3 linked regions of the Pelodiscus sinensis genome follow. The protein of the gene in region 3 interacts with the protein of the main gene of each other region in a biochemical or structural test. Links are inferred from orthologs where the notes say so. Each region holds a gene or a part of one and is shown on either strand. Other genes may lie near its edges.

Region 1 (10,741 bases), on a different chromosome or scaffold from region 3:
GCAGATGTGGTTGCCTCATCTCAAAAAAGATATATTGGCATTGGAAAAGGGCAACAAAAATGATTAGGGGTTTGGAACGGGTCCCATATGAAGAGAGATTAAAAACACTTGGACTTTTCATCTTAGAAAATAGGAGAGTAAGGGGGGATATGATAGGGGTCTATAAAATCATGACTGGTGGGGAAAAAGTGAATAAGGAAAAGTTATGTGCTTATTCCCACAATATAAAACTAGGGGTTACCAAATGAAATTAATAGGCAGCAGGTTTAAAACAAACAAAAGGAAGTTTTTCTTCACTCAGTGCACCTCTGGAATTCCTTGATGGTGGATGTGGTGAAGGCTAGGACTTTAACAGGGTTCAAAAAAAAGCTAGACAGATTCATGGAGGTTAGGTCCACCCATGGCTATTAGCTAGGATGGGTAGGAATGGTGTCCCTAGCCCAGGAGTGGGCAAAAAGGCCTGCCCATTGAGTGGGTGGATCTGGCCCGCGGAGACCCTGCTGTTCCCCTTCCCCCAGGCCAATTAGGGTCTGGGTGCGGGAGAGCACGCAAAGCCTTCTCAACTTTCCCCTACACCCTGCGAGCAGTGTGCGGTGCTTTGAAGTGCCGTGCACTGCTTACAGGGCGGAGGGGAGAGCGGAGAAGGCTTTGAGCAGTCTCCTGACCCAGGCCTTAATTGGCCTGTGGGCGGGGGAGCGCACGAAGCCTCCTTCCACTCTGCCAGGAGCACGTGGGGAGAGCGGAGGAGGCTTCGCACGCTTGCCCACCCACAGGCCAATCAGCGCCTGGGGGGCAGGGAAGCTGCATGAAACTTCCTCCGCCCTGCCCTGGCCCTCTGAGGAGCCGGCAGCACTTCGAAGTGCCACATGCTCCTCGCAGGGCGGGAGGAGGCTTCCCGCGCTCCTCCACCCCCAGACCCTGATTGGCCTGTGGGCGGAGGAGCATGCCAAGCCTCTTCCAGGGTGCTTAGTAGGAAGGTGGGGGCAAATGGGCTCCCCTACCCCCAGACCAATAATGGTCTGGGGATGAGTAGCCCCGCACCTCCCTGGGTGGCCCAGGGCTACTTCAAAAATGTTTGAAGTGGTCCCTGGGCAAAAATGATTGTCCACCCCTGCCCTAGCCTCTGTTAATCTGGAAATGGGTGATGGGAGGGATGACATGAGGATTACCTGTTGTGTTCCCTCCCTTTGGGACAGCTGGTACTGGCCATGGCCTGCACAGAATACTGCGTTAGATGGACCATTGGTCTGATTGGTGTGGCTGTTCCTATGTTCTTAATCATTTGACTGGCATTTTGAATAGATTTGCTACCTGTGTTTCTTCAGAGTCAAATCTGCTGACTTTATTGGTGCTAATATATTTTTATCCCTTTCTAGCAGTCCAGTAAACTGAACTGAGGGAATGTGTAATAAATTGTTTTCTGGCTTCCACATCATCAATATACTTGCTAACTAAGTTGCAGTTACAGAAATTTCAATTATAACTGGTGATTTTATGATTCTGAAAGAATTGAAGTTGACTCTCACAACCCAATTTGAGTTTTCAATACTTATAGCTGGGGAAAAAAACATCTTTTAACTAGTAAACATAGTAAATTTGATATGGAGAAACAAAAAATATGTCAGTCGCATTTTTACAAACTCCTTTTTCAGAACAGAGCTGCACTCAAATTCTTTTAATATAGTTAGCAGTGGTTCAAAACACTGCAATAGAATAATTTTAAAGTCGAATGTTATGGACTATTATTTTTGCAGAACCAATATTATCTAGTGTCTTGAACAGAGCATTGAGAGCATGGATTCCTGGACTGCATTCCTTTGACCGTTCTATTGCCGCTGATTCTCTATGCAAGCTGAGGCAAGCCATTTAACCTTTTTTTTCTTAATTTATCTATTCTGAAAAGGGATTGTAAAGTACCTTATTGAGGAACTGTGATGCCTATCTAACTAATCAATATTTATAACACACATTGGGAATCTTGCACTAAAAGTGTTGTATTATAGTAGTATATTTGGATAATTGATGGCATTATCAAGATATTTAAAATGTTGATAGAACTAAAGATCTGTTCAATGCAATTAAAAATAATTAGAAATCACTTCACTTTAACAATTAACTTCATTACCTTAGGAACCTATTGGAACTGTAATAATGAGAAGAAAATGTTTAAACCCCTTTCTTGCAAGTAGATTGGGCCTTAGATTGTAAACTCCTTTTTAGATTAGTTTGTAAACTTTTGGGGCATCCTTGTGTTTTAACGGCACCAACAGAATGGGACATTACTAATGAGTTGGCCATGTGTGCACTTCTATAACATTAAATAATAACAAGTCTCTTGTTATGGGACTGCCAAAGAATTCATATGGTATAATCAGATGTCTCCACCAAAACTAATTTATGGGAAGCCGCATAATCTAATGGTTTGGGCAGGAGACTGTGCATAACAAGACTTAGCTGTATTTTCAGTCCAACTACTGTTTTACTATGTGATCATGAGAAAATTACTTACATACATGCTTGCAGTATCAGGATGTAACTTTAGGCATGTGAGTTGATCCACTGCCTTCAGGTCTGTCACCCAAAAAAAGGATCTCTCTGATGTGAAGAGACCACATCAAGAACAATAGAAGACTTTTAGAATAAATTGATACATTGAACAACGATAATCAGCAGTACCAGACAGCATTCACCCAGCATTCTGGTGGAACTCAGATATGAAATTGCAGAACTACTAAGTGTGGTATGTAACCCAGGGCTGGATTAAGGGGGAGGGGGTCTAGCCGGGCAGCTGCCGGGGGTGCCAACCTATGGGAGGCGCCTGATGGCAGCTGTAAGGGGCGCACACGCCCATCCGCGCGGCACCCCTTAGAGCTGCCATTAGGCACTGCACGCCCGGGGCCTGTGCGGCACCCCTTAGAGCTGCAATCAGGTGCCGCACGCCCAATTGCAGCTGGAAGGAGTGCAGCGCACCAGGGGTGGAGCCGCGCATGCGTTGCGTGCCTGCTGCCCAGGACGCAGGAATGGCTCGAGCTGGCCCTGATGTAATCTATCACTGAAAAGCTACAGAGGGGTAGCCAAGTTAGTCTGTAACTGGAATATATTTAAATGCTGGAAATAAACTGCCTATGGAGGTTGTGGAATCTCCATCTCTGGAGATAGTTAAGAGCAGGTTAGATTGACATCTATCGGGGATGGTCTAGAAGGTGCTTGGTCCTGCCGTGAGAGCAGGGGACTGGACTTGATTACCTCTTGATGTCCCTTCCAGTTTTAATATTCTATGGAAAAACTTAATGAATAGTCTAGCAGCACCTTAAAGACTAACAATACGGCTACGTCTAGATTGGCATGATTTTCCGCAAATGCTTTTAACGGAAAAGTTTTTCGTTAAAAGCATTTGCGGAAAAGAGCGTCTAGATTGGCACGGATGCTTTTCCACAAAAACAGCTTTTGCGGAAAAGCGTTTGTGCCAATCTAGACGCACTTTTCCACAAAAAAGCCCCGATCGCCTTTTTCACGATCGGGGCTTTTTTGCGCAAAACAAATCTGAGCTGTCTACACTGGCCCTTTTGCACACAAAAAAGGACTTTTGCCCGAATGGGACCAGCACAGTATTTCCGCAAGAAGCACTGATTTCAGACAATAGGAAATCAGTGTTCCTGCAGAAATTTAAGCGGCCAGTGTAGACAGCTGGCAAGTTTTTCCGCAAAAGCAGCTGCTTTTGTGGAAGAACTTGCCAGTCTAGACACAGCCCACATGTAGATATATCATGAGCTTTCATGGGTACAACAATGAAGAAGTGGGTTTACCCATGAAAGCTCATGAAACCATCAACATGTGTTGTTAGCAAATACTCTAGCAGCACCTTAAAGACTATCACTGAAAAAAAGCCTCTGTTACAAATCACTGGAAGGTAGCTAATGTAACACTGATTTTTAAAAAGGTCTTCAAAGATGATCCTGGCATCTACAGACTAGTGAGGCTACCTTCAGTACTGGGCAAATTGATGGATACCATAGTAAAAAAACAGAATAATCAAACACATAGATGAATAAAATTTGTTGATGAGTCAATGTGGCTTTTGTAAAAGTAAGCCATACCTCACTGATTTAATACAATTCTATGAGGGAGTCAACAAACATGAGGATATGGATAAGCCAGTCAACATAGGGTACTTGGATTTTAAGAAAGCATTCAACAAGGTATCTCACTAAAGAAACTAAGTGGGGTAATAGGAAATGCCCTCTCATGGCATCTTTCAGGATCCAAAGTTCCTACATATGCCTCTCTTGACATGTGGTATACCTCATGCAATGTATGTACTAAATGACCTAAAAACTATGGGGGCGAAACAAGACAATTAGTACACTCTTGAATGAACTCACTCAGAAAAATGATAAAAGAGAAAAATACCATATCACCTGAGAGTGAATATTTTTCACAAAGTGATTGGCTCACCCTTATGCATATCTATATCTGATCTTTTAGTCCTCATATTCAAAGGAAACCTGCACAGCACTTTCAAAAGACGAGCCAGTGATCTTAAATTCATAATTTTACTAGGCACTAAGAATAAAGGTCTTAATAAAGCCACCTGATGTATAGCTTATAATAATTTGTAACCCTCTAACCCCCTCTTTTTATCCCATGACTACAGAGATATTAATTTGTTCATTTACCTTGAATAGTTCCTTATAACATGTGTTAACTACTTATGCTAAAGTCTGTTCCACCATGCATTTCTTGCACTTCTCTCTAGTCTTTCTGCAGCTCTAGTGCCCACCATTTTTGGAAACAGGATATTGGGCTAGATGGATGATTGGTTTGAGGCAGCATCACAGCTTTTAGTATTTGTAGAATTAGGGTTTTAATCTCCACTTCTGCCTTTGCTTTGAGCCACACCGTAGTATTCACTTTTGTAAAATGCTTTGAGATCCTCAGATAACTGCAAAACACACTTTTCACCATGAATCAAGAGAGAATTTGAATCTGCCTGTTCAACAAGCTCTCCTGATTCATTTCATTCTATCTGCTTAGCAATGTTCTCTTTTAGCTAAAAGATTAATTCAAAAGGAATAAGAAAAGCTTTCTTTCCAAGACACACTTCAGTGGAGTAAATAGTTCTTGCAAATATAAGGCTCCAGAGATAAGCAATTTGATCTGCATACCACAACCATGCATGCATGGAGTCTCCTTGATTCCTCATGTGTGTGTGTATTTATGAAATATGAAAAAGTCAAGTCTAAAAGGAAGACAAGCAATAATGTTCACGAATAACTTCTCTTTGGTGAAGTTTATGTAGGAGAAGAATGAGCATATTTCAATCCATCCTACAACATTTGAGGATTACTGTTGCTACTCTGCATGTTGAATAGAGAGGTAGCCGTGTTAGTCTGATCTTGCTAAAACAAAAGGAAAAACTATGTAGCCCTTTAAAGACTAACAAGATGGTTTAATAGCTTTTGTGGGCCAGACCTACTCTGGCCCTGGAAAGCTCATCACCTATTAAACTATCTTGTTAGTCTTTAAAGTGCTACATAATTTTTCCTTTTGTTGTTGCTACTCTGTTTCCTTTAGGACATTTGTAATGTATTTATGTATTTATTTTCCCTAACTGCAATACCTCTTGTCTCATATCTTAATTTCCCTCTCTGATCTATAACTCACAATTGCCCACATCTTTGGTTGCTTTTGGCTATACATGGGTGTCTTCACTGAGGTGTCAATTCCAAGAATAAAAAATTATGAGTCATGCCCTCTCCAGTCAGGAGATTGGCTTAAAATTCACTCAATTAAAAAAAACCCAACAACACTCTCAGTTGTGTAAGTTTTTTTAGTTGGCTGCTGTGTTCTCAGCTTTTAGAATTTACTTGATTTGCATTTGCAGACCCATCTTGAGAATCACGAGGGCTTAAAAAAAACCTTTTAAAAAAAATGAGAACTGACATTCTCACATTACCAAATTAATTCAAGCCCCAGGGCTTTATTGAAAACACCAACTACTGGGAGAGTTGGCCGCACAGCTTTTGTTTTGTTGTTGTTATCATCCTATTGTGGTAACACACCTTCCTGCGCTAGGGCCCCACCACGCTAGGCACCGTCCAAAGCTAACAAAAAAGTCCTTACAAACGCACAATCCGGTCAGTTTCCCTCTTGTGTGTGTTTGCCTTACAGTTTGAGCGGGGTGGGTGGGTGTGTGTGGGGGGGGAGGTGGGGAGCTACGATTCGAGCTAATAAAGCTGGACTCCGGTCCCACCAGCGTGGTTGTGTGTGAGTCGAGCTCTCCTTTTAGTAAACAGCAGTGTGAGCGGCAAGCCGCCCTGATTGCCGTGATAAGCCTGTGTGCGGTTAGGAAGTTAGCCGGAGTTCCCCACGTCTCCTGCAGCATGCCGAACAAACACCTGCATGGGCGCCCCGCGCCGACTGTGAGTGTGTGGGGAGGGGGCCCTGGACTAGCGCCAAGGGGGCTGCAGCAGGAACTCTCTGCCCCCCCCCCCGCCCAGCCGGGCTCTGCAGGCGGCTGGATTCCGCGGGCGGTAGGACCCCGCAGGCATCGCCGAGCAGACACAGCCCGTGTGTGTGTGTGTGTCTGTGCGAGCAGCAGGCAGAGGAGGGACCAGGCGAGCGCAGGCTGGCGGAGCCGGGAGCCGCGGCAGCAGCCCAGCCTGAAGGGGGGTGGCTGGGGCAGCAGCCAGCAGCTCGGGGCCCGGCCGCCCCCTCGTGCGCCCCGGCCGGAGGCTGCCCAGCGCCGGAGCGGCCAGAGCCAGGCGGGGGTCCGGCCGGCCGGCGCGCTCCATGGGCTGATCCCCCGCGCCGAGGGGCGGAGGAGCGGCCGGCGAGGGAGACCAGGCGGCTGCCCGCGCCCAGCTAGGCCCTAGCGCCGGCCCCGCGGGGGAACCCGCCCAGCAGCGCCGCCGCTCCGGGCGTGTAAGTGCCCCGCGCGCCAGGGCGGCGGGAGGAAGCGCCGGGGCCTGCTTCGCCGGAGCGGGCGGGGGGCGCTCGCCGGGGAAGAGGGAGGCAGGATGGTGCGTGCGGCTCCCTCGCGGGGCCGGGCCTCGGCGGAGGGAGGTTTCATGCGCCGCAGTGGCGGCGGCTGCGGCACCCCGCCGGGTGAGCCTGCAAGGAGGCTGGGGGCTGGCGCCCTGGGGCTTACTCCCCGTTCTGTGCGTGTGCATCGGGGCATGGGGCGAGGAGGGGAAGGGTAGGGCTGCGCGAACAGGAAGCGGCTGCCTGCTCTGGGAATCCAGTCAAGGAAAGTGTTTGTGACTGGAGCTTGGGGGGGTCTCCCCGCAGAGGGAGGAGTGCTGAGCTGGATCTTGCACTCTCCCGCCTTGCTTCCCACCCTACCTTCGCCCCACAAATGCATGGGGAGGAGCGAGGCTGGCTCTGTCTTCGAGCCTTCTTGGTTGGATTCCTTGGCTATCAGGAGCCTTTTGGTTTGCACAAGCTTTTATGTGGCACTGTTTTTCAGTCAGTTGATTGCTTATAACAGGTTTCTGAGACTCTCCAAAAGTTATGACACAATTTAGGGAAGTACTGTGACCAGTCCCCGTCCCCCCCGCAACTTCAGTGGTCACTGAATTGTATCTTGGAGACTTCTAGCACCTTCACCTCACTTCAACTTCATTGAAAAAAAAAACCACTCTCTGCGTATGTGGGTGTTTCCTTAATTTGACCTGTGTATTTTGGACTTTGTTTATCATAACCAATATGGAGATGCATTAGACATTTTGGTGTGGTGGTGTTTGTACTCATGTGGTTGCATGTTTTTTTGCTTAGGTGAAGTGTTAGCTTTATTTCCCCTTACCAATATATAAGAAGCAAATATCTGATTTGGTTTGTCTTTACATCGGGACAGGAAGTACACTTTAAGTTGCAGTTTTTAAGGGGAGTGGCCGGATTAACTTTGTTATATTTGTTTACAAGTAAAAAAAAAGTGTGGTGTGGCTACTAGAGTACTTTAGGTAGCTGTTAATTTCATAGGGGCAGCCAGGATATTTACCTATAGCACAGAAGTATTTGTGTGTTTAAATACATTGTCATTACCTTTTACTTTTTCAGTAGGTGGGCTATCAAGAATTTGTGAATGATATTTGCAAAATATGAAAGCGTGCAGTCTAATTAAAGAAGAATCCCAATTTATTAAGCAGTATCTATAACTCTAGTTTTCACTTGCAAGCTAATAATATTTGCTAGAAGAAAATTCATTGAGAATTAAATGGATCTATGACTTACTTCATCCTTACGAGGGGTGGACCCAAAACTTTTGTTTACATATGTGTTCCCTCTCATTCCATTTACAGTCTCCTGACTCTATATGCTCATATAATTTGAAACATATACAAGAGTTTTATAAACTATAAATTGAGTTTTCTCATTTGAGGAACATAATGAAAATGTAAGGGTCTGGAAAAGCTGTCCTCTATTTCCAGTCATTCTCACTTTTGCCCTGCTTTGAGTTTGTCCACCCAACAATCCGAATCCGAGATAGAACTAAACTTGTATATCAGTGGTCTCCAACCTTTTTGCACCCAAGATCATTTTTAAATGACAGAACAAACCAAGATCTACTACCCCATCCTTCCCCCAAGACCCCACCCCTTCCTTGAAGCCCCAACACGCCCTCTCTATTCTCCTCCTCTCCATCACTTGCTATCCCCAATCCTTATACTGCTGCTTTTTCCCCCCAATTCTTCTGTAGGAAGAGGTTTTTCCAACATTTGGCCTGTCTAGACTGGACCAAATGTCAGAAAAACCCCTTCTTTTGGAAGCCCCTTTATTCCTTGTGGAAAGAGGAATATAGGGGTTACCCAAAGAGCACATTTGCTCTTCCACTAAAAAAAGTGAAAGAACAAATGCATCCCTGGATGTAGAAGAGTTTTTCTGGGATAACTCTGGAATCCTGAAAAACTCTTGGGCTACATCTACACTGGCATGAATTTCCGAAAATGCTTTTAACGGAAAAGTTTTCCATTAAAAGCATTTTCGGAAAAGCGCGTCTAGATTGGCAGGATGCTTTTCCGCAAAAGCACTTTTTGCGGAAAAGCGTCCGTGGCCAATCTACACGTGGTTTTCCGCAATAAAGCCCCGATTGCCTTTTTCACGATGGGGGCTTTTTTGCGGAAAACAGTACTATGCTGTCTACACTGGCCCTTTTGTGCAAAAGTCTTTCAGAAAAAGACTTTTGCCCAAACGGGAGCAGCATAGTTTTTCCGGAAAAGCACTGATGATTTTACATCAGATCGTCCGTGCTTTTCTGGAAATTCAAGCGGCCAGTGTAGACAGCTGGCAAGTTTTTCCAGAAAAGCAGATGATTTTCCGGAAAAACTTGCCAGTCTAGACACAGCCTTGCAGTCTAGCTGTACCCTCATTGGGTTGAGACAGGATGTGTAGGCTCTGGGGTGGGAATGAGGGATTTGGGTGTGGGAAGGGGTGAAAGGTGCAAGCTCTGGGAGGAAATTTGGACGCAGGAGGAGGTGGAGAAGAGGATGCTGGCTCGGGGAGGGGGCTCCAGGCTGGGCAGTGTTGGGGTCAGATGGAGGGTTGGGGTACTAAGCAAGCCAGAGGCGTGTGGATATGAGGGTGCACAAATTTGGGTTGGGATATGTGAGAGGCTCAGGGCAGGGGCTTCCAGTGCATGAAGGGTCGTGGGGGAGGGGACAGTGCAGGAGTGTTACGATGCTGTGGCCTGGAGGCTTGGGATATGTGAGAGGCTCAGGGCAGGGGCTTCCAGTGTATCTAGGGTCGGGGGGGGAGGGGACAGTGCAGGAGTGTTATGATGCTGTGGCCTGGGGGCTTGGCCCCAATTGGGGGTTTGCTGGCCAGGTTTCATTTTTAAATAAACTACTATGTCAAATACAAAAAGTTTCAGTATTGTCTTTATTTATGAGAAGGGCAGGGAACCTGTTTTGAGTCAGGGGTCACTGACCCACAGGAAAGTCAGTTGGGGCCACACAAGTGAGATGCAAAAAAACACCCCTCCTCAACCCCCCCCTCCCGCAAGCCTCACTAATATGGCCCCAACTGTGCTGGTGGGAGCAGGGGACTTGGCACTGGGGAAGGGTGCTAGTGGGTGCTGGGGCAGGGGACAGGGTGCCAGTGGGGACAGAGTTTTGCAGCTGGGGGCAGGGGAGAGGGAACAGGGTGCCGGGAGGGCAGGGGATAGGGTTCTGTGGTAGGGGACAGGGTGCCAGTGGGGACAGAGAGTCTCCTGTACCCGCCGCCTCCCAGGACTCCCCCCTGCAGAGGAGGGAAGCCCTGTCGCATGCCTCTTCCGGGGCCAGTGCGCGCCTCCCACAGAGCAGGGAAGCCCCCGTCGTGTGCCCCCTCCGGGCCTGACTCCCCCCTCCCATAGAGCAGGGAAGCCCATGCACGTGCCCCATCTGGGGCTGACTTCCCCACCCCCCCACTTCCCGTGGAGGAAGAAGTCCTGTTGCATGCCTCCTCTGGGGCTGGCATGAGCCTCCCGTGGTGCAGGGAAGCCCCTGCCTCCCCCCCCCCCCCCGGCCCGACTCTCCTCTTCTGCAGCGAACGGAAGTCCCAGCACGTGAGCCTTTGGGGACTCCACACGCCACAGACCTGGGGCAGGGAAGCAGCCAGTGCATTTCCGGAACCCCCGGAAGTGCTGCAGGACTTCCATCTACCCCGCGGGAAGCTGCCACTACCTCCATTGTCGCTGGAGGTAGGTAGTGTGGGTGGGAGGAAATAAGGGGCCCGGAACACCTCGCAATCGACTGGTTGATCA
Region 2 (10,481 bases), on a different chromosome or scaffold from region 3:
CACAATTAAGATTTTCCATAAGGGATTTTTTGTTTATGATTCTAATCAATGGGGTCCAAAGCCCTGTAATAGACTTAGTGCACACCTCTCCTTCTCCCACACCCACCCCTTCAGCCTCAGATTTGGTCTTTGATTGTTTATTTTTCAGGGGAAGAGCCACAACAGAGAAGAGGTTAATTAAATAAGCCCAACCCTATAAAGTATCATGGAAATATGTTACACAAATAAATAATTCATAAGGCCTCAGATACTATACACAGACTAACAGGGAAAATCAAAGACACAAATGTCGGCATGCACACACTAACCAAGGCAAGGAAAACTTTGTACATTTTATTTTATTTCTATGTTATTTAAAAATTGCACCTTCTTAACTAAACCTTAGTGTTCCATTCAGCCCTAGCCAGGGTAAAATAATATGAGGTCACTTCAAGGGGCATTAACATCGCTCCTAGCACTGAAAAATGTCATTTAACTCACACAGACAAGATATAGGGCTTAATCTACATAAGCTACGTGTGTTGTGTAACAAAAAGCAGTCAGGCTTATTTTGATACACATGTAGGATGTGGTTCTATCTGGAGCTGTAGCCCTCCTACCCCTCGTGAGGATGAAAACTTACCTGCAGTGGCAGGTTAACATAAAGAGATATTGTTCCCTAACTAAATGCAAAACATATAGGGGAAGAACATACACTTGGAGATCGTGTTTACACAACATGGTGAATTGCACCATCCTGTATCTCCATCTGCAGTGCCCTTAGATATTTAAATACATACACAGCAGTATTATTTTGGAATAACGTTATTCTGAAATAACATAGTCCGCGTCTATACTACAAGCAGTTATTTTGACATAAGATTGAGCTAGAGGACTTCTTTCTCTGACTCCTGTAACACTCATTTCATGAGGCGTAAGGGAGGTCAGAGGAAGAATGCTCTTTCTCGGACTTCCTGCTGTGTAGACAGCGCTAAAAGCCAAAATATGCTATTTTGACTTAACCTATGCAATTGACGTAGCTGAAGTTGTGTAGCTTATTTTGGCTTTAGCCGTACTGTGTAGATGTGCCCATAGTGGTGTTCTTTGTAGGTGAAATCTATGGTATTGTTTCAAAGAGCCCACACTGATTTCTCCATTGCAGTGTTTACAGAGCTTTGTTTTTAAACAATAGAACAATTAACTATTTAAGAAGCTTTTCTTGTCATAAATTCACTCTGGGCCAAATCTGGTAGGCCTGGCACACAAAAAATTAGCCCTGCTGAACTCCCAAGAATGCAAATGTGACAGACTCCCAGCTTCAGAAGCAGGAGTAGTCCCAGCAATGTAGGCTACTAAAATGAAAATACAGAGGGTGACAGGCTGGCCCCCACTAGAGTCAATGGGAATTTTGCCTTTGATTTCCATGTGGCCAGGATTTCATTCATAGCCCATATGCTATGTGCTACCCCATGATGCTCTCCATTGCAAATCTGAATGGAGATCTTGCACAGTGTGAAGTCTACAGGGCTTTGAGGAACCTGGAGCAGGATGCCACAATCATACCCCACGGTTCCCGTTCCTAAGGCCTAACTGTGACTTCTAATGTCTACTCCTCTTCCAAGCAATATCAGCTGACGTACACAACTCCTGAGGAAGCAAGGTCCATTTCCTCAAGAGAGAGGCTAAGACAACAAGAGTGAAGTTCCCTTGCGATGTCCCATGGCACTTCTTAATGTGTGTAGTGGCTTGCATCATGTTGCATGATGCCATGCCCTGTTTTGGAGTGACTCAAGGATGCAGGTAAGGCTTGCACAGAGAGTGTGCTGCAATCACTCATTATTGGTGTGGTTGCCATCTGTTCTCTTAAACAATAGCGATGGCCATAAATAATAAACCACAGGCAACGTGTCACTGCTGTGATTGTGAAGTACCCAGAGTGTTCCTCATTGCTTTGCATCTCTCCTGTGGCAACTCCCATCAGCACGAAAAGCGTCAATCGCCTGATGTACCAATTACAATGCATTTGGGAAGATCAATAGATGCAGGATGGACACAAGTAGCCATTAATTTCTGAGTATCTTGTAACACAGCTGTGGCAGGAATCACATTAGCTTGAAATCCAATTATTATCCATTTAATAGAGTATTAATATTTAAACACTCTTTATTGTGTTTAGGCAATGCCCTTTTACTAGTGCATTTCATGTAAAAATGTTGGCCTAGCTCCTCAGATGGTGTAAATCAACCTAGTACTGTACCATGGAAGTCAATGTGGCAATGCCAATTTACACCAACTGAAGATGTGATCTAATAGTCATGGAATTTTTGGAAACCAGTGACTCAGCTGAATCTTCCTTCTAGTAATCAAATATATCAGTGGATGGGTCATTGTCAATCTATTATATCAGTCCCTCTTTTTCTTTGCAAAGGCTGTGCAATCCTTTTGGAACTGATACAAAGCCTATTGAATTCAACTGGAATCTTATTAAAGAAATGTACCTCTTTAACACGCTATTTTATATCTTAAATAATTATTTAACTTAAATCATTATTTTTATATTTCAAATCATTTTTGTAACTTAAATCATCTGTCCTATAGTTGGACAAAACTTTTAATTTTTTTTTTACAGAACGAAATATTCAGAACTTTTTCAATCTAGAAATGACAAAACATTTTGTTTCCCAATTTTCTAGTGAAACAAATTATTTTGCTAGTTCTTGAAACAGAAATGTTTAATTTTGGTTATTGAATTAATCCTAAATACTGCATTTCAAATCAGCTCATTATATTAAACTGAAATTCTGTATTGTAGTGCATTGCTTTATGGGAACTGTAGTTCAGGACCCTGAACCCCCATTCTCCACTAAGGACCATGCTTCTTGTCTGTACTACAACAACTATATATCTACAGTTATGACATTTACATATACCAGGTATCTTGGTGAGATGGAACTCCACCTTGTATCACTGGAGATGTAATCCACTAGTGAGCCCAGCCAAAAAGATAGAATGGAGGCCCAAACTAACAGCTCCTATGAGACAATGCCACACAGTAGAAAAATTCTGTTTAATACTGAATTGATTAAAAATGATGAGTTTCTGGTCAGTTCAACAAAATGAAATATTCTGATTCAAGTGAAGCTAATACCAAATTAAATATTTAATTTCAATTTTTCTGATGGAGTATCACAAATTGCCAACAAAACTGAAATTTTTCCATGGAAAATTGTGATCTTGCAGAAATTGCATTTTCCATTAAAAAATAAATTGGTTCAGATGGCCGCTTCCTAGCTATCATAAGTTTCTGCAATCTGGATTCCATGTCCACTGCCACCAAGCCTTTGTACATAGCACAGTTATAATAATTTTGAAGTCGTAAAGTGACCACAGATTTGGATATTATAAACACACACAAATAGTAAAGTAATTCTTTGTGCAGAACATCCTATCAGCAGATGTTCATTATGACCAGAGCCACAATTTGCACACTGAAGTGCATTGAAGAAATTGGAATTTTCACTATACTATAAACTATCATAATTTCGCTTATTTATTCGGTTGTTGATATAAATTGGCTCTCTATATTTACATCTTCAAAGACAAATTACTGTATAGGCCTCAATTCTGAAAGTCACTCTGCCAACATCACAACATCATATTGTGGCAGGTGTCCATGCTAACATGCCTGCTTGAAGGTTTAATCTCTATACATGTAAAAAAATAAATGTCATGAACTGTTTCATAAATTACACCTTATTTTCTCTAAATGGAAAGAATATTAAACATACATTTTTCTCTTTTCCTTTCTCTCATCTAGAACAATGAAAACAGTAGCACTCTTTTCATTTTTGTTTGTTATTGGCTTCTAGCCAATTTCGCTTTCAGGTTCTCATGTGTTAGTGCAACATTGCAATGTATAGGTTACAACCAATAAAAACAACACTAGGTTTAAAAGACAATTCCATTGTTGAAAAAGAATGAGAGAATCATGGCAATAATTTGATTGTTCCATGATATTGTAAAAGCCTTTCTCCCCTTACTTTAAGATTTGAGTTAAATTAGATCCTTTTAATGTCAGCAGAGATTAATCTTTTTGCAACATGTGATTTATTTATTCTTGTATTGGAAACCTTGATCGTTTGCATCACTGCACCACTAAACAGGCTTGTGAACATTATACTTCTGTATATTTCAGTTACCTGAGACATTTGGCAGTTCAATTATACAAATTATATTTTGCTTTGCACTCGAAATTTTCTAGGAAAAAATGCTCTAACGACCAGCACTGGTTGATGACGCTGTTGCTCCATTTCTCTGCATGTATCAGGAACTCTGTGATCAGTGTTATTAATGATAAGAAGACTGATTCAGTTCTAGAGCTCTGAACTTCCTTCCCTGCAGGGTATTCACTCTGTAGACAGCACAGTGACCGTGAACAGAGGGGACAAAGTGGGGTGGGGCTGCCCCTGGATCTGCAACTGGGTTATGATAGCCTATTGCTGATAGGGAAATTTCACTCAGTAGGCTTTGTTTTGCTAGGCTAACCTACTGACTAGCTCTGCTTCCCAAATTACTCCTGGTAATATGTGTGTGCTGCGTCTCAGACTACAAAGCCCTTGACACACTAGCTGCAGGCAACAAGCCTTTCTGTCAATTGCATGATTGTTTGCACTAAAATGTAGTGCAAAGAGCATCTTAATCCATAAAGCACAATTAATAGCCAACTGCTGTCCTGCACACACATTATTGTGTGGTTGTGTTGCCACTTCACGGACCTGCATTTTGTAATATTCCCGCACAAACCTGTGAAGTTTGACAGTCTCCCCAGTGCATCTTCTATAATATTCTTCCTTGAGGCAACAAATACAAGGAATGTACCAGGTTTGGGGGGTGGTAGAGAATAACAAATAAGGAAACAAATAAAAGCTGGATCTTCCTAGATTCTGCTAGTTTCTACTGATTTTTGTCCCCAAACCCAAAATTATACACTACATCTAGTCTAGCTGCTCTTATCGAATAAAACAAAAAATCTAGTCACAGGCACATCTCAGAGCTAGAGCACTGCTATCCTCCCCCATCTTGTATCTTGCATTGGCTCAAATCCATTTTTAGGCCTCAACTCCATGTTGAATGGCATAGACAGAGAGTAAGTGTAGTCACTCTCTCTATACCTAACAATTTCAGACTCTAAGTCATCATGAAAACATGGAGTGCTACAAAAATCTGGATTCAAGCCTCTGTGTCTTGGCAATTTTTGGCTCCAGCCCCCAAATTGTACAAACTTAATATGCAGAAAGTGGCTTCACCTGCACCAGAAGGTGTGAATGCTGAATTCTTATGATAAAGGAGTGGTATCATGTTAGTCTGTTAATGGTATAATTAGAGGGTTTGGGGCCAAAAATGGAAGAAACCAGCGGATAAATATTTGTGATGCTTTTTGGAAGAAATGGCTCTGAATTTTTACTATGGAATGTGGGGAGCTATTGTTCTCGATATGGCTTGTGGTGGGATTCTTGGATTTAGGATTTAAACAGAACTATCTGAATCTAGCAGGACCAAGTGCCCTATGCACATTTTTGCAGATCTGTTTCATCAGTTTGCAACAAAGCTGGGATGTGGGGGGGGGACCACATTTTTATTTCTCTACTTACACAATAAAACTTGGGGATATAGCATGTAAAATTGGCTGAATGCAACAGTACTCAGATACTATGCATTTCTCCCCCCCCCCAGTGTTATTGGGCTGGGTTATATCAGGGTCCAGATTTTGCTCTTAAAGCAGGAACAGCTACACTGTTTTTCAATTTAGATGCATGTGTGTGTTTGTGGGAGTGTGTGTGTGTTTTTTTTCTTTTGAAGTGACAGCCTTTATTTTGATGGTCCAATTTCAGGGTTATAAGTCCAGAAATCGGCAGGGTCCAGCTCCAGGCAGTTTTTACCTTTCCTTTCCCAGCAGGATAGTGCAAACACACATGGCATGGAAATGCTGCCTCTCTCCTGAGGAAAGGCAACACCCACTTCGTGACACTCACTCCTCCCAGGAAGCCGTGATAGACACTTTGTGGCTCTCTCTCCATCCGACTGGAGGAGTTGATGTGTCTCATTATAACAGCAGCCAATGCAGCCGCCATCCAGAGAAAAGCAAAAAGCATGTCCTATTTAAATACACCCACTCCCCAGCATCGCCCTTAAGCTTTGCACTGGCCTCGCCCTCCCTACCTAAAGGATTGCAAGCAGAGGAAGACTTGCCCAGGCACTGTTTGCTGGGGGATTTTTTGTTTTGCAGTGGGGCTTTATTTTTTGGTTGTGTCGTGTTTTTCCTCGGTGTGCAGTGGGGGTGTCTCCCATCCCCACCCCCGCATGAGGAGAGGAGTGAAATAGACCCAGGTGGGGATCCAGCCAGAAGAGCGCAGCGGTTACTTTCTATCTTTGGTCAATTTCTCCGGCAAAGAAGTAAACATGGCGAGTGATTCTCCGGCTCGGAGCCTGGATGAGATAGATCTTTCAGCCCTGAGGGTGAGCAAAACAACCCTACCCCCAATTCCCTTTCCCTGCGCCCGCCCGGCTCTGACCCCGCGCGCTTTATGGCTTTGCGTGGAGATAAGTTTGCCATTGTATGCAAGCGGGTTGCAGGGGGGGGGGGGGAGTTTCTTCGGCTTTGCCAGTGTGATTCGGCTGCAGCTATGGGTGCGCGTGCGTGTGTGTGAGAGCAGCAGTGTGTGTATGTGTGTGAGAGAGCAACACTGTGTGAGACAGAGCAGCAGTGTGTGTGTGTGTGTGTGTGTGTGAGATGCTTTCTGAAGATCCAAGGAGGGGAACCAAAATCTGCCTCGCTACAACCTGTCACTCCCCCGCTTCCCTTCCCCCGCGCTGGAGAACCAGCCCGCTGTGAGCTGCTTGTCTGTAGCGCCCACGACATAGTCTGTTGCCCCCCAGCGCTGTGTGTGCTCGGCACGTAGCTGCCGAGGGGGGTGGGATGCAGATCCCGAGCCGGCTTTTGGTGTCCGTGGGGCAATGTGGGGCCAAGTCCGGGCTTGTTGCACAGCAGATGTGTCATATCCCCCGTTGCTGGGCGGCCAGCATCTGTGCACGCGAGAGTGTGTGTGTGTGTGTGTGTGTGTGTGTGTCTCCCTCTGACATGCTTTCTGCTCGCTCTCCGCTGTGTGGGCTGGCTGTCTCTGCGGGTGGGTTCCACCTGGAAGTGTGACATTTCAGGCAGGTGCCGGAGACACTGGCTTTAATCCCCCCTTCCCCCCACACAGACGCTGGCTTTAATTTACACACACACAGACGAGATGCTGGGCTTTAATTTACACGCGCGCGCCGAGGATGTGGCTTCGCTTCCCTTTGCCCTCCGCTGTGCTGATTCTTACAGCAGCCGTTACCCTACTGATCCGCATGCTCTTGCCTGGGGCCTGCCTCCGCCGCTGCCTCTCCCTTGGATGGAGCAAGGGGGTGATAGAGTCCATCTTGCAGATAGTGTTGTGAAATTCGAACATAATGAGCCCTTAATGATTTCCCTCCTCGCCTCCCTGGCCCTCAGGGGATGGGATGCACCTCGCCTTGACATTCTCATCAGGCACCGGCTTGTCTTAGGGAGCTTGATTAAATACATGCTTATTAGTGCTTGTACACACCGTGTGTGTATTTATATTTGCACCGCTCACCAATGGAACTGAATCGATGTGGGGGGTGGGATTTGGGGCCTGGAGGGTCACACCTTGTGGCACAGTGCATTGTTAAACACAGAGGCTAAACCCTGTGCTTTTTTTGTGTCTTCATCTGTTTGCATTAGCTATCCTGCCCCCACCTTTTTAAAGCGAAAGCTCTTATTTGAATTTCAAATGTACCATTAGATGTCTAGTTTACCAAATATGGCAGCCATCACTTTCTTTGTGATCTGACTTGTCCCCTCTCCTGTAACTCTTTTATTCCATCCTTTTGGCCCTGAGAATATATTACTGATTTCATCTATTGGTTAGTGAAAGGAGTAGTACCTAACATGGACATGGGTGCTGAAATTCCTGTCTGAAAGCTCATGCCTGTTTTATTACAGCAAGAGTGCTGGCACTGACTTTAAAAAAAAATGTGAAAGAAAAATAAAATTAAAGGTGGCATCCGCTAAAGAACTTTTCAGAGTGTAGTTGTAGAAATATTATTTGCTTCAGTGGAAATAAGATTCCTGTCTAATTCATTCACCCCACATTCCTACTGGTGAGTTTCTGGCTGAATAATGGTGTAAATGATTGCTCAGCAGTTCAAGGCATAGACAAGATTGGAAAATTAGGACCATATATTTTAAAAATAAATATTTACGTCCAATTCACCTCACTCCTGCTGAGGACTATCAGGAGAAATGTTATTGACCTTAATGCCAGTGTAAAGCAAATGCAATTTGAGAGATGAATGAACCTGGCATAACTGTGTTTTGTTAAGGAAGCTCAGCAGTTTAGTGTTCTTATAACACTTAAGAATTTCCTTAGTATTAAGGTCCTGACTGTTTAAAATTATGTTGTCATATTTTTGTTTGTGTGAGTGTGTGGGCGGGGGGTTCAATGGCAGAACTTGGGCAGGATATATTTTGCCCAAAACAATTGATACTCTTAGCCTCTCAGCAGTATTTTGTTTGCATTTTAAAAACATAATTCCACAAATGGAGATATGAAATCCTCTGCTGAAACTGCATTTATCACGACTCCTGATATGCACACTTTCCATGGCATTGTGCTTCTGTCCTCTAAAACCCAGCCTCCATTAATTTAGTCGGCTACAGGATCTGTTGGCTTGAGTTAATGGTCGATCTGCCTCAACAGTATCAAAATGTTGAGTTCTCTTTATGCTGCCACTTTGAACCCCTGAAGGATGACTGATGTCAGTGTTGACTGGTGGGGAAGGAGGGTGTAGGAAAAACAAAGGCTACCCTGTGAATTTTCACATACCAGAGTGAAGATAATCTGTCCAGATAGCCCAGATTTAAGAAACGTGTTAGAAAAAAGATTTGTATCTAGCGCATCAGATAAATTATTCAAGAACAGTTAATCTATATGAACATTTGACCCTGCATGAAGTTCCAAGGTCAGCAAGACATAGGGTGAGCTGCTGCTCCAGTTTAGAAAGTAGCCCTTAGCAATAGAGATCAATTTTTTCTCAATACCTGAGAATGTTACATGTCATTAACTCATCTGGACCTGACCTTCATTTTATTTTCTAATGCTTTTTCCCCCACTGTACACACTACACATTTCCTGGGCATAGCAGACATTTCCTGGATGTGTTCAAAATATAAAGAGGAAGAATACCAAACAATGAATAATTTAAACAGGAGAGGCCTATTATAGCTCTTTGATTTAAATTATTCAAGTCAAACAAAAATTGGGTCCCTAATTTGTGAAAGAATGGATCTTCTAAACTAAACTCATTTAGCACTTAGAATAACTGAAGGTTATTCAGCTGATACGTTGAGGAGTTTGAATCATTCCACAGTGTCTGAATCAGAAATCAATAGTAAATTTGCTGCCAGAGCACAAAACATATCAGCGAGGAGTAATTTCATAAGGCTCACACAATTTAATTCCTTACAAAATAAGGAAAGGGAGGGGCTGTGTTGCTGCAGCTTTGTAAATGTGTGTGTCCCGGTAGAGGAAACATGGTCCATTTCTCTGCATGTGTGAAATCATGAGAAATAGCTATTTAAAATGTTATAAGCCAGAAGCAGACAGCTATTCCAAGCAAGGCTGATAGCACAGTTCATGCCTAAAAACAAAATAGGAGATACTAACAGAACTGCATATGAAATTTATCATCATGTTTTATTCAACTGAAAATTTGTTTTTGTAAATGTATCAATCAGATAATACAATGCATAGTAATCATGCTATTAATAAGCAGTAAAGTAAACTTACACTATGCTGCTGCTTAAAGAGATTGTCATCTTTCTTCTGGTTTCTTTTTCTCTCTTATAGGGGAATATTCTACACTTTCATTGAATTAATATATGGTGTGTAGTTAAATATGGAATATGGTGTGAATAAAACCCAGGGTCCTACAAAGCCTTTTTCACACAAGCAGGTATTAGTGGCTTATGTAGTCTCACTGACTATTTGCCTGAGCAGCAAACTGCAGAATTGGATGCTAAGCTTACATTATAGATGCTAAGCTTACATTATAAATGCAATTTTTTTAAAAAATAAAGTTTTTCCACATTGCTATGGCCAACAAAACAGTGGCCCAGCACAGTTGTGTGTGCATGTGAAACAAATGTCTGAAGCAATCAAAAATTATGCACTGAGGTGTGATCTGCTTAAAATATATAGATTGGTGAATCTAGTAAGCATATCTAGGGCCCAGTTCTGCCTTTTTTGCTGTCTGTCTCCACCAATCATTTTATACTGAGCTCATCATCATGGTACATGTGTGCCTTAGCGCCCAGAGGGAAAGTTGAGAGCTCAAGAAAAGCCAGAATAAGGCCTTAAATATGGGAAGAATTATTAAAATACCAACCG
Region 3 (10,695 bases):
CTCTAAGGTGCTGCAAGACTATTTGTTGTTTAAGTTTTACTGCAATTTAAGTAAGAGTTCCCTTGCTGATTTAAAATATTCTAGTACAATCTCATACAGCCTTTTTTCCCCCAACAACAAGAATACACACTAGGGATGTAATAGTGTAGCTGATTAACCAATTAGCAAGAGCTTATCGGTTAATACTATAGACTACACATATTTCCCTGCACTGCTTTGCCAGTAAGTTTTTTATCAGGCTGGCCAGCAGCCTGGTTCTGTCCTGTCTTGTGATGGATCTGAACCCTGTCTAGACAGGGGCTGCTACCATTGTGCACTGCTGCCTCTTTATCAGAGGCAGCAGCACTGGGCAACAGGCAGCTAGTCCGTGAGGGGAGCTAGTTTTTAAATGCCAATGCGGAGTGGCGGGGAGCTCCTCAGGAGTGAGGCCAGAGTACACTGGCTGCCAGCACCGCCCCAGGAACTATAGAGTAATTGACTGATAAGAATTCATGACATTACTCAACTATTCAATTAACCAATATTTAACATCCCTAATACACACTGGTAACTTATGATCTATTGTGATGATTTTTCTGTCAAAGTTTATAATTCAGACCCATATTTTAAGAGGATTTTTTTCAGTTAAAGTTACTGACAGGGATTTTAAGAAAGAAGATACACTGCAAAGGAATGCAGACTTGGGTCGAAATCAGGTAATATTTTCACTGAAAACTAAAATCTGCAGGATAAGATTTCAAGGTAATATTACAACAACTCTAAGATTAGTATTAACTGTAGATCACTAGCAGCTCCCCTTTCATTTGTATCTGGAAAGTGGTACAATAGTGGAAATGTCAATTCACTAAGGCTAGTGTGTACTTACAATTCCAGTATACAAAAATGCCTATTTATACTATTGCCAATTTTTGTTCATAAGTAACAGCATTATGCAAGTCTGACATTTTGCAAGAGCTTCTGAATGACTTTCAAGATCATTTAAATACATTTGTAAACCTACTTTTCTTATGGTTCTATCATTATTAACAAATATAAGTTTCACGTTGAATACAAGAGAACAAATTTCTGAAGTTTAGCTTGAGAGGAGTTTTATTACTCAAAAGTTAAAACTACTAAACTCAAGAACTAATTCAGACTGCAATGTTGTTGGAAAAGATATTAAGTTACAGAATAAAGTTCAGGCTGAACTAGTGGTTGGAGAAAAAAGGGGAGGAAACACTTAAAATTCCTGTGGCTCAGGGTGTATACAGATACAAATAGTATTTTACAGTTGCTCTGCTCAAATGTTACTTTTAATTAATTCTCAACACAGCAAGTTTCTGCAAAAATTTTTAAACTTACATAAAATAAATAAAAGATTATAGTAACGTATTCATTCTTAGGCATCTTTAAATAGTTATTTCAGCAACAATTAGTTCTGTTTTGGATTAACAATACAGTTAAAGTTTTAACTCAAATTTGATTTTAAGTCAAGAACTTAAACATGTAGATTACTACATAATAAAGTAATTTACATGCAGATAAATGGTTTAAATAATCAGTTATGATTCTGAATTAATATCTGAAGTTCAGGTGCTTTACTGGGAATTTTCAGCTACAAAGGATATTATACACTAGAAGAGACCAAATTATTACAAGCTATCATGCTATTTTCAGATCCACTGGCAGTTTTTCTTTGAAAATAATACAAAAACCCTCACCTTACAGGGCTTCCACAAAGTGCTACTTGATGATTCCCTTTTGCAGGTACTGGAATTTTTTTGAAAGCCACTAGTTTTTCTGTCATTTCCCGGTGTGAACTGTATGTGCAACTGCGATGTCTCTGCCTTAGGATACTTGTATTTAAGACTGGATAAACAGCAAGAAACTTTCTGACAAGATCCTTCTAATGAAACACTTCTTTGCAGGTGGGTTGTCCTCATTTGTGTATTTGGTCTTTCTAATTCGCTAATAAGAATCTGATACTCAGAATGTTTTTTAGAGGGCAAACATGCAGATGTGCTACGTATCAGTTTTAAATGAGAGCACTTTGCATCAGAGTACAAATTTAACTCCTTTTCTGATAACTCTGGACTGCAACAACCATTAACCGTTTCATCCCTTGATGCAGATTCTCTTTGCTGAGTGAAATGAACTGAAATACAAGAGAAACTATCAGATGGCTTTTGTTCAACTCTACTTGTGGCCTGATTTTTGTCTTGTAATGAATTATTCAAGTAAAGGGGTCTAATGTCTCTAGTGTCACCAGGAGAGCCAACCGTTTTAGACAGTCGAAGTCCACTGACTGATGTTGAAGTGAACCCTGTAGAAGTTGCTTGATCTTCATTCTGTGCCAGTTCAGTAGGAGAAATAACTAATCGATGTGATGTTTGATAAGGTCCTCTGCTTGGCAGGGGACCCAAACATGTTGGAGAAGTTGGTGGGGTTGTCGAAGGATTCCTAGGAAAGATTACCAATGATGAAAAACGCCGTAGTGGAATTTTAGTTTTCCTCCTCATTGGCAATTTCATTTGCTCCAAACCATCTTGATCAAAAGCAGTATTATTTTTACTTCTACATGAAGTTTCCTGAGATATATTGTTCCTATAGGAATTACATTTGTATGCCGTGCTTCTATATGAAGAAGTACTATATACAATATTACTACAGAAAGTATCACCACCTGTGGAAAGAGTGCAACTACTACTGTCACTGATGATACTGTTGCTGAATGAGTCTCCATCACTAGTGATACTTGCACACGATTCATAGTCACTCCCAGTGCTACTGAGGTATCCAGTGTTATTGGCTGCAATATCACCTAGATTAGTATTGCACATGGTAGCATTGCTTAAATGGCTGCTACTATTTAACATATTAGATCTGTAATCAGCCATATTCCTGCTACAAGTGTTTCCTTCATTACCAACACTGATGAAAGGGTCTTCACTAGCAACTACTGCATCAGATTGAAAACATTCACTATACCTTCTAGACTGCAGGGAAATCTGCAGTGAGGTGCTCTTTTTGTTGTTCTTTTGCAGTGAAGAAACAGTTGAATGCTGCTGTTGATTAATTATTTCCTGCATTGTAGTTGGAAAGCCAGCTTGCCTGGGAGTCAGCTTCATTTCTATAATATCAGGTGCAGAATTCTGTGAAGGTCTTTGGAAATACACATGAATGTTACTATCCAAACCATCGCCAGAGGTTTCTGATAACGGATCAGTGTTGCTTCTTCGGGCTGCAAAATGCAATCTTAACCGTCGTGCCATTTGTTCTCATTTGCACACATGTTAGCAAGTAAGAACCATAAAGCTCCTTTTGCAGAAAGGCTAGAGGCAGCTGCACAGAACTGTGATCCAGTTCAAACACATTGCAAAAGTGAGATCCCATGAAAGATGCAGCCTTTGTCCCTATTTCGGCAAGACAGTAACTAGCACCTCCTAAAACAAGTCAGCCATTCCTTGAACTGTGGTTTCTGGGCTGTCTGTTTGTAGACAGAATGCAATCACTTAAAAAGCACTTGATTTCCAACGACCATCAAGATTAACTCAGCTGCTGTATACTGACACGCTGCCAAACTTGTTTCAATGTTACCTTCTGTAATGTACATAAATGAATATAACCCAAGAATATTCCAGCTCTCAGGAGTTTAAAAACAGAAAATTTTGCAGCACTTACACTAGCTTAACCAACATGTCTATGCTCTCTGCGGCAGCGTATGACTACTAATATTTTTACCCACAGGTTTAGAATTACAGGAAGTTGGTAGCAATGAAGTCCCTTATAACAGAGTATCAAATCTAGGATTGAATTGCCAAATAGTAACCCATGCAAGTAAACTACATCTGGTTATGCAAAAACCAATGAACTAAGCCATTTCATACTAACAAAAGGTTAAAATTAGAGTTATTTTGAGAGTCCTAAGAAAACTACTGGAATTACACTTAATATGGTTCACAGTTCATGGAATCCTACAGTGCCACATTACTTCAGTTTTTAACAAAGATATAACTGGGTTAAATAAAACCATAAAATTTCCTCCTGATTAAAAGCTTGTCGCTCAAGGTTTCAGTGAAGCCCAGAGGTTCTTTTCTAGTGAGTATATTTTAGTCTTTCAGGTTAAAAGTGTGCTGAGTTAGACTTTTCACACTTTTACAACTTTTTACATTTCAAACTCAAGTGCTTAAATTGTTGGTCAGCAGTCCATGTTCTGGACTAACGTCTGGTTATCTACGAATTAGAGAGGCAGAGTATGAAATGTTCAACAATGCTTTTGGTGTGAAATCTTCAGGTCCGTACCTACAGAGATTTTATATGTATTTATCTCACACACACAGTTCATATGAGGTCTTTCTACAGCTGTACAGTATATGCTGCATATTTAAACAACTGCTTATATAGCATACAATTCACAGATGAAGACTACTCCAAGCTACATTCCATAAGGTACTGTATGCACACTGTACAGTAATCTTATACATTCACAGTTAACTACAGTAACAAGAATAGAAAGGAGGTGCAATTTTAATAAAGTGCTTTGAGAGCCACTATGGAAACACAATTAGACTAATCAAACTAAAAATATACTGGTAATTTTCCCCAAAAATGAAAGACTAAAAATGACAATTTCTCCAGGCATTTGCCATATTGACAGAAAAGGCCCTTTGCTGGCACCTAGTGGGACTTTTGGAAAAAATGTAGTCTTGCTGTGAAGTGTCAATAGCAGTGAACAGAAATGATACTTCATGCAATACTAAATGCTAACATATTAAGAAGGAATGAATTACTGGTCTGGTAAAGCTCAAACAGGAGGAGAGAACACTAGACCATTTATCCCTTCATCATAGGTCAAACTGTTGGATATTTTCTGCTCAATATTTACATGACCTTTTCTATATTTTTGGTTAGTATGCAGTAAAAAGAACAGCTTTATCCCCTCTCCAAATAAGGGCCAGGACTAAAGTTAACACTACTTAGTTTGCACGCAAACAAGGTTTTTTTGTTAATACTCCAAGGTTCATTTAACCTCATTACCCACATTTTAATGGCTAGAAATTAATCAACATATAATAGCTTATTTACTGTCTTTTTTATAACAAACAGTTCAGCTATTCCACCAAGCATCACTAATCAAAGTTACAGTGTGGGTTTTCAAAGAGCTGTTTTGGTCACAGGTTCAGAAAGTTATGTATAACCATTAAGTAATACAATTTTTTTTTTTTTGAGTTTCAAGTTGATAAAGAAGAAGCCTTAAAAAAAAAAAAAACTAGAAACAAAGAGACTTAAGTATGACTCGGTTAATTTAGTCTACAGGTTAACAAAATTAAACTTATCAATTTACTTGAGGGGTGGGAGAAAGAGAGGGTAAAAGAAATGCTAGGCTCCTGGGCAAGGTGACTGCATTCCCAGAAGGGGCAGGACTGAGAATAGCCAGCCCTCAGCCTCACCCATAGACTGTGCTGGGTACTTCCCTCCCCCGCAACCAGCCCTCAGGAGTGTGCTCCTCAGGGCTGTGACCTCTATTTAAAGGGCCTAGGGTTCTGGCCACTATCACTGCTGCAGTAATAGCAGTAGTGGCCAGGAGCCCTGGGCCCTTTTGAATTGCCAGGCCCTGGGACAGCTGCCTTTTTTAGCACCCTCCCACCATCGATGGGCCTGAAGTTATCCAAGTCTGCTATAGAAAGTAACACTCTGATAAAAGTCTTAGCAACATTCACCACAAGAGAATTAGACTTTTAAGCATGATGTCTCCTCCTTTACTAAGAGCTATGCTAAGTAAAGCAGTCAGAGGTTTAGTCATGTAGTAGTATTTTTAGATTTAAGTGTGTCCCTTCACACTAGATAATACGTTTCTTGAAGCATGATCTTCCCTGGTTACTTTGATAATGAAATTACTTCAGATCCATTATGGTCTGGTTGATCATTGGCTTACTGATGTATGTTGCCAGCTCTTTCCTCACATCAACAATCCTGTTTTAAATCTCACAATCCAAGATTTTTGCAATAGTAATGACTACAGTTCACTGGTACTTTCCTCGCTGCATAGGTGTGAATACTATGTACTGGGAACACTTTCTCCCACATTAAACTGTTCTACTAGGAAGTAGTAACCATTGTTACCAGTCAGTATCCAGATTGTGAAGAAGTGCAATAGCAAAACTTATGTCTCACATAGTTTAACAGTTACCCAGTTATGGATAGCAAAACCAGCAGTGTCTGGCCACCTATAGGTTTCTTGGCTAGTCACTGTCAATCCATCAGCTACAAAAGAATCCTGCTAGTGAATACAGCTGGACCTGACAATCTTGTCATTTAGCAATGAGTTCAACACAGAAGCCTTATTTACTTCCACCTCTCTCTCCAGATTGCTCTACTTCATGAGCATTACTGCCATGCTTGCTTTCTAAAAATCACAATGAGGAACTTCACAAGACAAGAGGTTATAAAGCCCTGAACTGCCATTCTTTTGACAGATTCTCAGAGGCTAGTGCTAATAGAGAATTTTGCCTTTTCTCTAATCTTAGGCAGATGAAAGTACATGCTGAAAAATAATCCATGAAGCTTGCTGGCAGTGTAATGCAGGCCTGTTTGGTGTGGCACTCTGATCCCTTCTAATGGTACCTAGAACATCTCGAGATTGAGGCATTTACTACAGCCTGAGCTAATCGTCATTTGGCCTTTAGCTCATGCAACATGGGTTTATTCAGTAAGCTTCAGAGGTCTAAAGTTTGATCCCACCTGTTGACAACCAGCTGCAGTTGAGATAATAAAAATGATTATTGCTGAACACATTAAGTGTGAGAGAAGGCACTGCAATCCAGAAAGGCAACATTGTTATTAAAACTATACCACAGATTAATACGAGGTTTAGTTTTAAGATGGATTTGTCAAGATCAAATTGTGTCAAACCTAACAGGGTAACAAGCCTTATGGGATGGGAGGAGCGGTAGATGTGGTTTACCTTGACTTTAGTAATGCTTTTGATACAGTCTCACATGTTCTCCTTAAAACAAGAAAAACACAACCTAGATGGAGCAATCATAAAGATGGATGCATAACTGGTTGGAAAACCATTTCCAAAGGCCAATGAGGTTCAACAAGATAAGCGCAGAGTCTTGCACTTGGGACAGAAGAATCCCAAGCACTGTTATAGGTTAGGGACTGACTGGCTAAGCAGCAGTTCAGCAGAAAAGGACCTGGGGATTACAGTGGACGAGAAGCTAGATATGATTCAACAGTGTGCTCTTGAAGCCAAGAAGGTTAATGGCATATTAGGGTGCATTAGAAGGAACATTGCCAGCAGATCTAGAGAAGTGATTATTCCACTTTATTCAGCACTGGTGAGGCTACATCTGGAGTACTGCATCCAATTCTGCCCTCATCCCGACTCCCTGCCCCCATTACAGAAGAGACATGGACATCCTGGAGAAAGTTCAGTAGAGGTCAACAAAAATTATTAGGGAGCTGGAGCACAAGGAAAGGCTTAGGGATTTGGGCTTGTCTACTGAAGAGAAGAGTGAGAGGGCATTTGATAGCAGCCTTCAAGTACCTGAAGGGAGATTCCAAAGACGATGGAGATAAGCTGTTCTCAGTAGTGACAGATGACAAAATGAGGAACAATGGTCTTAAGTTGCAGTGGGAGAGATCTAGGTTGGATATTAGGAAAAGCTATTTTAATAGGAGGGTGGTGAAGCACTTGAATGGGTTCCTTATGGAAATGGAAGAATCTCCATCGCTAGAGGTTTTTAAGTCCTGGCTTGACAAAGCCTTGGCTGGGATGATTTAGTTAACGTTGGTCCCGCTTTGGGCAGGGGGCTGGACACAATGACCTCCTGAGGTCTCTTCCAACCCTAATATTCAAAGAGTGATTCAGTCAAGCTGGAAAAGCATACTGAGTGGAGTCCCTGAGGGATTAGTTCGAGGTCTGGTTCTGTTTAATACGTTCAGCAACGGTTTAGAAAATGACACTTAAAGTTCGCATACAATACCAAGCTGGGAGTGTTTGCAAGTGCTTTGGAGGACAGGATTAGAATTCAAAGTAATCTGACAAACTGAAGAAATGGTCTGAAGTAAATAGAATGAAATTCAAAAAGGATAAATGCAAAAGTACTCCTCTTAGAAAAGAAAACCAATCAGTTGCACACATACAAAACGGGAAGCGGCAGTGTAAGCAATTTAGACTGCTATCGAAAATAAGATATAGGTGCTTTTAGAAATTACACCTCTAGTTAACAACCAAATCCCAGTGCCTTTTGAGTACTTCTATTATAGTTTGAGGGAAAGCTGATGCACAAAACTTCAAAAGTCATTCTAGAGGTTCATTTGCCAATCTGCTAAAACAGCTGATGCTCTTGATGGCCAGTCTCCAAGAAGGCAGATTAAAAAAAAAAAAAACAATATTTTTATAATATATTAACTATTTAGCTAAAATTAGCAAGCATCAAAAACAGAGTTCTAAAAATAAAATGTATTTTAGACATTCTCAAATTTAAGGGTTACATTTACTAATGTAATTTAAGAAATATGCTGTATCATTGAGCTTTCAAGTTGCTAAGTGAAAAAGGTGCTTCTTTTTTTAAAAAATATACAAAATAGGGGAAAGCCTATCTTTTGATATCAATTCAAACTGTCAGTTTTGGTTTAACAGAAAAGATTTTGCCCTAATTATTTTTAGATTCAGCTTACATAGCTGGTGAAGAGAAAATATTTTCTTTATTTGGACTAGTTCATTCAAAGTTAAGAAAATGAGTTGAAAAAGCAGGGAAGTTTGTTTTCTTCCATCTATGACTTAAAATAAGGTTGGAGAGGATAAGCTCTCCTAATTCTAAAGAATTTGAAGGACATAGGGCCAGAGTTTCAAAGATATTTAGTCATCTCAAGCTGCAGAGAAGTGCCTAGTGAGATTTTTAAATACACCCAGGAAGAATAAGTGCCAATATACGCCTTTAGAGTCCTAAGTAGAAAGTTTGACCCACATTGACCAGAAAGTCAACTAACTACAGTTAATACTTTAATATATTTTTAAATTTAAGATGTATTTTGATAATTTTTATTTTCTGTATCCAATAAAAAGATCAATTTTAAAATGTTCTCTATACATTTTAAACTGAATTCCAGTTTTCATCCAATCATAGGATGACAAATCCATAGTGAAGGCGTATTGTAAAAAAATATTAACAAATTTGAATAAGAGTATGTTAAATTTTATTTCTTAAATAGATATTTATAGGGATCTAGTGTATCCTCTGGCTAGCCAACAGTAGTACACCAACTTTAGTTAAAAGGCTATATTTGGTTTAATCAACATACCAGTTCATGATAATGAACCTTTTAGGTAAGATACAACTGCAAAGTAAGTTTAAAAATTAATGTTTCCTTCTTGCCAAATTAAGTTATTAAAACAGTGGTCAAAACCACATCCATCTCAGAGAAGCCTGTATCTTTACTAAGGGCATTTGGTAGCAGGTAAAACAAGCCTCAGATCATTTAAGAAAGCTACCATCAAGTTTCCATAGCAGTACACGAACTCAAACTATAAAGACAGTCAGATCAAAGAATCCATGAAAACATTTGAACAAGCAGATACTACATACAAGACACTGGATTCCAAAATTTCTAACAGAAGAATTACAAAGAGTAGTGACTTCAAAAGAAAAAGAAAAAAGAACTGTCAGATTTAGCCTTAAATCTGGTAGGTTTATAAAAATTAATTATGGAACTGCCTTTTTTAAACATTTCCATCTAAACTTGATTTCATTCATGTCTTTAAAGAACAAATATTCTAATGTGCAGTGACCTACCAAACGGTTTTCATCAAATACTTCAAAAAGGAGCCTGTGCTGCTGAGGATCAACCTAGGAAAGAGGAACAGATTAACAGTTATTAGTCAGTCAAGATATTTGGAAAGCTGCAGCAGTTATTTTTGCTAAAGCAAATATTCTAGGATTAAACAGGAAGCAGTATATAGATCACGCAAATCTTGTACTGAAAAGGACAATTCTTTATAAAACACTCATTAAAAGTTCAAATTAATTTAGAATCAAGATACAAAATTAGTATTAAACCTGACAAACCTTGACCACTGTATAGATTCACAGAATTCAAAACCAGAAGGGAGCATTAGATCATGAAGTCTGAACACCTGTATATTACAGGCCAAAAAATGTCTCAGTTATTTTTTTTATTAAGCCTAATATTCTTTAGTGAAACACAAGTTATCCTCCAGAAAGATATCTAGTATTGATTTACTGACATCAAAGAATAGAGACTCAAACACAGCCCCTGGAAGCTGGCTCCAATTGTCACTATTCTTCACTGTTTAAATATTGGGCCTAATTTCTAATTTAATCTTGTCTGGCTTCAAACAGGCATCGGGTCTTGATAGTTCTCTTTACGGTGTTTAAAGAATATTGACAGTTCTACACAGAATAAGTTCAGAATATATCAGATTGAACAAGCATTGTTTCTTAAACCATTTGACATGTTGTTACTAAAAGTAAACACAATGGAGTGCTTGAGTATTTGAGTGGAGATGTGATAAAACTTAGAAAGGCCAGTGAATTCTTACAGTAATAGAGCATATTTTACGCTTCAGGTACATTTCAGGTTATTTGTACATTCCCATCTCTGTGCCGCACACTAAATCTGTGTAACTGTCTCACCCAGTATCTTTTTTACACTCACTATCTCTAGCCACTAGCCCTACCCCTTCTG

The links. The genes of interacting proteins can lie anywhere in the genome.
Region 1: of the proteins of NEDD4 (region 3) and AKT1, one has a biochemical effect on the other in vitro, tested with the Homo sapiens proteins (3 studies listed by BioGRID, with this or other methods). The link is inferred for Pelodiscus sinensis from reciprocal best matches to the Homo sapiens genes NEDD4 and AKT1.
Region 2: the proteins of NEDD4 (region 3) and TNIK form a complex in vitro, tested with the Homo sapiens proteins (2 studies listed by BioGRID). The link is inferred for Pelodiscus sinensis from reciprocal best matches to the Homo sapiens genes NEDD4 and TNIK.

What each region holds. Positions count from the first base shown.
Region 1 is NC_134714.1:18,005,593-18,016,333, forward strand, and holds the start of AKT1 (RAC-alpha serine/threonine-protein kinase), read left to right. Parts: upstream 1-6,278; 5' UTR 6,279-6,422; intron 6,423-6,590; exon of another isoform or gene 6,591-6,924; intron 6,925-6,975; exon of another isoform or gene 6,976-7,107; intron 7,108-10,741. UniProt on the Homo sapiens protein: AKT1 is one of 3 closely related serine/threonine-protein kinases (AKT1, AKT2 and AKT3) called the AKT kinase, and which regulate many processes including metabolism, proliferation, cell survival, growth and angiogenesis.
Region 2 is NC_134720.1:39,646,227-39,656,707, reverse strand, and holds the start of TNIK (TRAF2 and NCK-interacting protein kinase), read left to right. Parts: upstream 1-6,018; 5' UTR 6,019-6,438; coding exon 6,439-6,495; intron 6,496-10,481. UniProt on the Homo sapiens protein: Serine/threonine kinase that acts as an essential activator of the Wnt signaling pathway. Recruited to promoters of Wnt target genes and required to activate their expression. May act by phosphorylating TCF4/TCF7L2.
Region 3 is NC_134724.1:28,000,179-28,010,873, forward strand, and holds the start of NEDD4 (E3 ubiquitin-protein ligase NEDD4), read right to left. Parts: upstream 5,147-10,695; 5' UTR 3,252-5,146; coding exon 1,701-3,251; intron 1-1,700. UniProt on the Homo sapiens protein: E3 ubiquitin-protein ligase which accepts ubiquitin from an E2 ubiquitin-conjugating enzyme in the form of a thioester and then directly transfers the ubiquitin to targeted substrates. Specifically ubiquitinates 'Lys-63' in target proteins.